Linked DNA regions of Lonchura striata. The protein of the gene in region 1 binds, or shares a complex with, the protein of each later gene. Links are inferred from orthologs where the notes say so. Each region holds a gene or a part of one and is shown in the gene's direction. Other genes may lie near its edges.

Region 1 (3,901 bases):
TGCAACCCAACAAATCCATCCCAAAACTCCTGGAGCTCTGAGAGTTTTGGGATCACAACCATTCCATGGGGAGCTGTTCCAGCATCCAAATTCCAACCCAACGAATCCATCCCAAAAATCCCAGAGCTCTGAGAGTTTTGGGATCACCATAATTCCAAGGGGAGCTGTTCCAGCGCCCAAAATCCACCCCAACCAATCCACCCCGAAACCCCTGGAGCTGCGGCAGTTTTGGGATCACCCCCATTCCCTGCGGAGCTGTCCCGGTGCCCGCCGCTCCTTTCCCAGCGGGAATTCCTCCCCGTCCCTCTCCAGCCCTGCCCGGTCCCGGCCGCGCTCCTCCCGCAATTCCCGCGGCTCCCGTTGCTGCATCCCTCGGCCGGGATCCCGGAACCCTTCGGCAGCGGGCGATGCCGAACGGGCCGAGCCCGGGGCGGTGTCCCGGTAATTGCCGCTTGTCCCCGCGCCTCCGGCGAGCGTCACTAATTACCGCTCGCCCTCCCGGCCCCGTTAATTGTCCCGCCGCTCTCCGCCCGTCCCGTTCCCGCATCCCTCGGTTGTCACCCCGCTTTGGGGACACACCGCGATGCGCAAGGAGCGCGGTGCCCGAACCGAGGGACTCGGCGGACACCGGAGCCGGTGCGGGGCGGGTTCTGCCGGGGCCGTCGCACCGGGGAGCGCTCCCATCCCCGCCCCGGTGCTGACCGGCCCGGTGCCCCGCCCGGCCACCGGTACCGACCACGGGACACCCCGCTTCGTGCGGGATGCCCGTCACGCAGCGATTCTGCACTGCCGGACTGCACACACCGGGACACACCGGGTCACACCCCCGGTCCCGGGAAACCGGCGCCGGTTCCGCTTCCCGCCGCGCGCCGAGCACGTGGCTCCTCCCCAGCCGGTTCCGGTGCCGCTGCCGCCCTGCCCCGGGCATTGCCGGGAACCGGCGGCAGTGCCGGTGACCCCGCTCCCCGTCCCGGTGCTCCCGGTGCTCCCGGTGCCGCCCCCCACGCGCGGCCCAACGTGGTCGCGCCCCCCCGCCCCCCCCACCCCGCGGCAATGGTCCCGTCCGGGCCCCGCCCAATCCCCGCGCGCGCCGCCGGAAGCCCCGCCCCTTCTTTCCTCCCCCGCTCCCTCCCTTTTGCCGCCCCCCCTCCCGCTCACCCCCCCCCCCCCCTCCAATGGCCTCGCGCCGCCGGCCCGGCCAATAGGAAAGCGCGCGCGCCGGGCCGGGGGGGCCCCGCCGGCCAATCAGCGCGGCGGGCGCGGGGCGGGCGCGCGCGCGCGCGGGGCCCCTCCCGGCGTATCCCTCCGCCGCCCGGTGCGCGCGCGCGCCGCCGCCTCCCCGCTCGCGCGCGGCCCCTTCTTTTTTTTTTTTTTTTCTTTTTCCCTTTTTTTTCTTTTTTTTTTTTTCCTTCCTTCTTCTCCACCCTCTTTTAATTTTTTTTTTTTTTTTGTTTAAATCGAAAAGAATCTCTCCCGTCCAAACGCCCCGCAGCCGCACCGGGAACCGCTGCTGCTGCTGCCCCGCTCCGGCCTCCGCGGGGCAGGCCCCGGCTTTCCGCCCTTCCCCTCCCTCCCTCCCTCCCTCCCCTCCTCCGGCCCGCCCCGCTTCCCCCCCCCCCTTCCCCTCCTCCTCCTCCTCCTCCTCCTCCTCCTCCCGCCGGCGCCGGAGCCGCCACGCCGCCGCCATGGAGCTCATCACCATCCTGGAGAAGACGGTCTCGCCGGGTGAGGCGCGGGCTGAGCGCTGAGGGCGGCGGGGCCGGGCGGGGCGGGGGCCGCGCAAGCCGCGGGGCGGCCGAGGCGGCGCCCGCAGCCGCGGGGAGGGCGTGGGCGGCGGGGGAAGCCGTGAGGCGGGCGGGAACCGGAGCGGCGGGGAGGCTCCCGGGCACGGTGAGGAGCGCGCCGGGAGCCCTGAGGGCGCGGGCGGTTGGGCCGCGGGTGACGCCGGTTTCCCCCCTCCGCAGACTGCTCGGAGCTCGAGGCGGCGCAGAAGTTCCTGGAGCAGGCGGCCATCGAGAACCTGGTGAGCGCTCGGGGCGGTCCCGGCGGCGGCGGAGCCGGCGGCGGCGGCGGGGCCGGCGCTGCCCCGAGCGCTCCGCGGCCCCGCCCGGCTCGGCCCGGCCCGGCCCGGCCGCCATGGCCGCTGCCGCCCCTGCCCGCGCCCGGCGGCCGCGCGGGCCAATCACGGCGCGGCTTGCGGGCCCGGCGGCCAATCAGCGCGCGGCGCCGGGCCGGGGGGCGGGGCCGGTGCGGGAGCGGCCGCGGGCCATGTGCGGCCGCCGCGGCCATCGCGGCCCCGGGCGCCGCCCGGTCCTAAAGCCCGGCCGCCCGCAGGGACCCCCGGACGGCCCCAGCGGCCGCCTCCAGCACCCGCGGCACCCCCGGACCGTCCTGGTGCCCGCCGCACCCCCGCCCAGCCCGACCTCCCGGTGCCGGCGTCCGCGGGACGCCCGGCCGGTTGTAGCGCCCGCTCCTCCGGGGCGCTCTCCCCGCTGTGCTGTCCGCGGGATCCCTGCCCAGCCCCGCTGGCCGGTGCTGCTGGCCGGTGCTGCTGCCTGTGGGACCCCCGCCCAGCCCTGCTGCCCAGTCTCGGTGTCCTCGGGAGCCCTGTGCGGTCCTGCTGCCCGGTGCACCGGGAGCCCCGCATCCCCCGGAGAGCCGGGCCCGGGCGGGATCGCAGCTCCGGGAGCCGGGGAGGGGCTCAGGGATGTGTGGTGGGGGAGGGAGGCTCGGCTGGGCAGGGGGAGTTGTACCCGCGCTGACCTTAAACCCGAGCAGGAAAAGAAGTCAGAAAAAAGCAACGGAAGGGGGAACAAAAAGCCCCAAAATCCCCGGGTGCGATGGCGGGGCCGGAGCGGGGGCTTGGGGCTGCTGCTGCTTCAGAAGGGATTTTGCTTAGTCAAGCTCTGGGGCTGCAGCTCTGGCTGCTCCCCGCAGGGATGGGGAGCACTGGGGGGTGCCGAGTCCCGGTGTCCCGGTGCTGTCCTTGTCACAGCCCCGTTGGCACCCCAAAAACCGGCACCGGTCACCCCCCAGCTCCTCCTCTGCTCCCCGGGCCTGCTGGGGAAGAAGCCACGGAGGTTCTGTGTTTGTGGTGCTGGTGGAAGGAGGGTGAGGATCCCTCGGGGTTGATGCTGGACCTCTCCGTTTGGAGGGGAGAATCCTCTGGGTTGGTGTTTTTGGGGGGCTCAGTACCACCCCAAGCTGTGCCTGGAGCTGCAGGGCTGAGCTCTGAGGGATTTTGGGGTGATGAGCAGGAGCTGCTCGTGGTCCTGATCTGCTGGTGTTGGGAAGAGCTGGGGAAATGTGGATTTTCCAAGGTTTCATTTCTCTTGTGGGAGAAGAAATCTGGATTTTCCAAAGTTTCTCCTCTCTTGTGGAAGAGGAAATGTGGATTTTCCAAGGTTTCATTTCTCCTTTCCTGTGGAAGAGGAAATGTGGATTTTCCAAGGTTTCATTTCTCTTGTGGGAGAAGAAACCTGGATTTTCCAAAGTTTCTCCTCTCTTGTGGAAGAGGAAATGTGGATTTTCCAAGGTTTCATTTCTCCTCTCCTGTGGAAAAGGAAATGTGGATTTTCCAGGGTTTCATTTCTCCTGTGGGAGAGGAAGTGTGGATTTTGCAGGGTTTCATTTCTCCTGTGGGAGAGGAAGTGTGGATTTTGCAGGGTTTCATTTCTCCTGTGGAAGAGGAAGTGTGGATTTTCCAAGGTTTCATTTCTCTCAGACTTGTGGGATTACTCCAAGCTTTCATTTTTACTTTGCTCCGTGAGAGGCAGAGCTTGGGCTGGCCCCGGGGATTTGTGTGGGGTGAGGAGGTGGAATGGGCCGGGGGGATGGGGATGAAGCAGGAGGATGAGGATGGAGCTGAAGCAGGCAGATGAAGATGAGGATGAAGCGGGAG
Region 2 (3,901 bases), on another chromosome or scaffold:
GGGAGAGGAGGAGAAAACTTTCCACTAGTTTACTTTTTTGGCCAAGAGCGCTTGTGTTCATAGACCGCGAGTCCTTCCCCCGGCCCTCCCCCTGAGCTCCCCCCCTCCCTTCACTAGCGTACAATTAGCATCATTAGGAACCGACCCTCCGGCTAATAGGGGAACGGCGACCAACTACGGTAGGTGCGTGCAGGGAAAGGCGGCAGCAGTCCCGGGCAGCGCTTTGGGACTTGACTGAAAAGTGCTCCCAGCGATGGAGGAATCCCCGCGGCAGGGGAGGCGCTGACCCGGGGGTAAACACAAAAAGGGAGAGCTGGAAGGTGAGCGAGAGAGGAGTGCGGCTGCAGAACATGCGGAGAGCTTGGTCGGAATCCTTGGGGTCTGCTGAATGCATGTGCTGTCGGGTCTTTCCCTTTCTTCTCTCCTTTTTGATTGCGGGCCTGGGAAGCGCTGATTCGCAGTCTCCGTTTTGGCTGTGGGTATCCTGCCCTGGCTCTCGCTCTCTCCGCACATGTTCCTAGGGCGCCATCTCTTTGCAAAACCCTCCGTCCTCCCGCAGGTCTCCCAGAGGCTGCTCTGGAGCGTGTGAACATCCCAGGCTGCAGCCCAGTCCAACCTGCCGAGCCAAGCATGCTTCCCAGCCCCTGAGCCTCCCGATCTACCGCTCCTCCCAGGCATCTCGGGCTCTCCAGATAGGCAGCGACCTTTGCTTGTTTCTCTCGTCACCGCTTGTCTATCGCCTTATCACTGTTGGAGACCAAAACTTTCTGCCAGCTGGGGACGTGAACCTGACCCTTTTTTTTTTGTAGAGGTATACTGAAAGACAGATGTGGAGATGCATTCCCCCTCCGCCTCAGTCTATGTGTGTTTGTGTGTCCGCGCGAGTTTACAGAGAAGCGATCAGCTAAGCTGACTTTAGGGAATCTTTCCTTATCTGCAAAGAAGACTTTCTGATGTAATATAAAGCCCTGAGAGAGTGGCTTAGCGGACTAGAACTAAACAGGGCTCGGGGAACTCACTGAGCCCCGCTCCAACGCTGTTGAAATGAGAGCTAGATGCTTTTTGAGCTAATACTGAGAGAGATCTTGCCTGCGGACGGCGAGAGACAGAGAGAGGGAGGGAGGGAGGGAAAGAGGGAGGGAGAGGCAGACAAGCAAGGAAGGGAGAGAGACGGAGAGAAGTTTGGAAGGAGTGAGCCGAGAGTTCAGAAAGTTTGTTTTTCCTTCAGAGCCTCGGAGCTGGTAGAGCTGAAGGGGGACTCCTTGAGGACGGCGCTGGCGCATCTGTCCCTCCGGACTGACCTCTTTTTCCTTGCAGGTTTTAAGTCCCGGAGGGTACAATGTTCGCTAAACTCTTCCAGCAGTGGAGTTTTGCAGTGTTCCTGCTGAGTTATTCCGTGCCCTCCTACGGGAGATCAGTAGAGGGGATCAGCCGCAGACTGTGAGTTTCTCTTTTTCTTTTCTTTTCTTCTTTCCCTTTATTCGTCCTCGCTGCGGCGGCAGGGAGGGAGGAAGGCAGCCCGGGAGGCTCCGCAGCGCTGCCGGCTCCGGCGGGGCCGGCCCGGGTTACCTGCCCCAGGTGCTCACTGGCGCTGCCTGAGAGCCAGGAGAGGCAGAGACAGAGCGCTTTACAGCTTTCTGACCTTGCAAAGTTCTGGGGAGGCGATGTGAAAACTGAGGGGCTTCTCTTCCGACACGCCTGGGTGATTGTTGTGCAGTTGCCCGGGACCCTCGCAGGGAGCATCCCGGTTTATCCAAACGCTGTGTGTTACAATAACTTACAGACATTTCTCGGCTCTGGCATGAAGCCAATGTTGATAGAAGTAGAGGAAACACGCAGAAGTGAGAGCCATCATGACACTGAAGTACTGAACAATTTCTTTGGATTTCTGCCACTTCAGGGGAAAAAATCCCAAGGGAGTCTAGTATCTTACTTATAGGCAGAGGTATATTTTTGATAAATGATAGTGTATCTTAAGACAGTCTGTTCAGGAAATGATCTTTTTGCTTCTTCCCAAATAATCAGCCTGGCTTATAGTAACACCCATTCACAAAGTGCAGAAGCCTCTGCTGATGCAGGAGCAGCTGTCTCACACTTCCAACTCACTGGCTTTCTCTGGACTTGCATCAGATTTTCTCAGGAAGAAACACCTCAGTCACACTGGGGAGGGCTGTATTGTTATTCAGCTCTGAAGGAAGAGAAGCTGGAGCAAGAGTGCTGGAAAATTCGATCATAACTTACAGGGAAACATGACACAGCAAACAATTTCAGATGGGTTTCCTTGTAAGTGTTTTACTACATACATAAGGACAAGACCTCCAAATAGCATTTCCTCTGCCAGTTAGGCCACACACATAAAAATAAAAATGAAAATGAAAATAAAAATAAAAAAAAATAAAAATAAATTTAAAATAAGAATTAAAATTAAAATTAAAATTAAAATTAAAAAATAAAAATTTATATAATAATAATAATAATAATAATAATAATACCCCAAAACATCCAAAATTAAAAAAAAAAAAGCCCCAGGTGAAGCAACTACAGACACACCTAAAGTTTGGCACGAGGCAGAGAACTATTACAAATCTCCTACAGCAAATTGTGTAGAACATGTTATTGCTGATAATTTTACAGTATTATTCTCAGTCCATTAACGTTTAAGTGTTTTGTACTCCTGAAAGCTGTTCTTGGGCTATTTCTTTCTTTTGGGACCATGTTATACAGAGGAATCACATTTCAGTTTCAACAATAAATAAAAAAAAAGAAAATAGTTGAAGTGCAATTAGATGCTGCTATTTTCTTGGCTAGGAAACTCTAAACTGGATCTAAGCCAAATTTTGTTGTTAAAAAAAAATCAGATTTGCAGAGAAATACTCTCTTTTTGAAGTTAGCGTAGTTCTAACACTTGTTTTAAAGGTCAGGATTAGAGGTCTTCCCAGCTTCCCCATTCTGTCCTGACAGAGGGAAGAAAAGTGTAAGCTAACCAGAAAAACACATTTCTCAGCTCCCTCTTTGCTCTGGCATGTAAAACACACACAGGAAACCAGTCAGCTGTCAGTTAGTGGCATTCATGTAGTTTTGTTTGTGGGCATAGCACAAACACAGACACCACACTCAAACACGTGTCCTGTTTTAATATTACCACAAGCTATTCCTAGAGTTAATAGCTAATAACTCATTTAGGCATTGAGATTATTTTTTTTCTCAGTCAAAAACTTAAGACAGTAATGGATGAAAATAGTGAAGCGCATTATTATAGACATGCACAAATAATCAAAATTACATAGGCCTGGTTCTACAGACTTCGCTGAGGCAAATATCTCATGGAAAGCAATAGCAAATTTTCCCAAGAAAATGTTTCCAGACATGTTATTTGTTATAGGAGTGCTATAGCTGCTAAAGAACTTCTGAGAAATCAGTAATGCCTCAAAATGAAATTACATATTTTTATCATTATTTCCAGATATCACAGAATCATGTCCCTAGATCTGTTCAAAATATTTTTCTGAAGCCTGAGATAGGTTGAGCAGATTTCCCTCCCTTTGGAGTCAGTGGCAAGGGCACTCAGTTTTGCAAAATACAGAGAGCTCACTGAATCCTCCTCAGTTATTTTCCTGAATTTAGGATCAGACCCAACATGAACAGTCAAGGATAATAACAGCTAAATAAGAGCAGCTATCTGAGATAGAAAGTGGTAGCTTGAAGAATGTTGCCTTTTAAAAATGCTAGATCTCTCGAGGGGAAAAAAAAAAAGAGGAATGTGCATGAAAAGAGCAGCTTATCTGGAAGTAGTCACAAGTCATGGATTTCTGCTGCTCTCCCCGTGATGAGACACTCAGCCTCAAATGTATACGGTGTACTTGGATCCAGCAATTAGTTTGGATGCTCTGGTCAAGTACAT

What was found.
Region 2: the proteins of KPNB1 (region 1) and PTHLH are in contact, whole or in part, in a crystal structure (PDB 1M5N), measured with the Homo sapiens proteins. The link is inferred for Lonchura striata from reciprocal best matches to the Homo sapiens genes KPNB1 and PTHLH. Residues at the interface, in NP_002256.2 of Homo sapiens: Val55, Tyr104, Pro106, Gln111, Glu152, Tyr156, Gln159, Asn196, Leu199, Asn200, Gln239, Glu274, Gln278, Glu281, Asp288, Ile295, Ser298, Glu299, Asp339, Asp340, Trp342, Val350, Met353, Glu395, Trp430, Arg434, Glu437, Asn469, Trp472; in NP_945316.1 of Homo sapiens: Tyr103, Thr105, Gln106, Glu107, Thr108, Asn109, Lys110, Val111, Glu112, Thr113, Tyr114, Lys120, Thr121, Pro122, Gly123, Lys124, Lys125, Lys126, Lys127, Lys129.

The regions. Positions count from the first base shown.
Region 1 is NC_134627.1:8,499,383-8,503,283, reverse strand, and holds the start of KPNB1 (importin subunit beta-1), read left to right. Parts: upstream 1-1,430; 5' UTR 1,431-1,685; coding exon 1,686-1,725; intron 1,726-1,964; coding exon 1,965-2,023; intron 2,024-3,901.
Region 2 is NC_134607.1:11,158,773-11,162,673, reverse strand, and holds the start of PTHLH (parathyroid hormone-related protein), read left to right. Parts: upstream 1-1,322; 5' UTR 1,323-1,339; coding exon 1,340-1,440; intron 1,441-3,901. UniProt on the Homo sapiens protein: Neuroendocrine peptide which is a critical regulator of cellular and organ growth, development, migration, differentiation and survival and of epithelial calcium ion transport.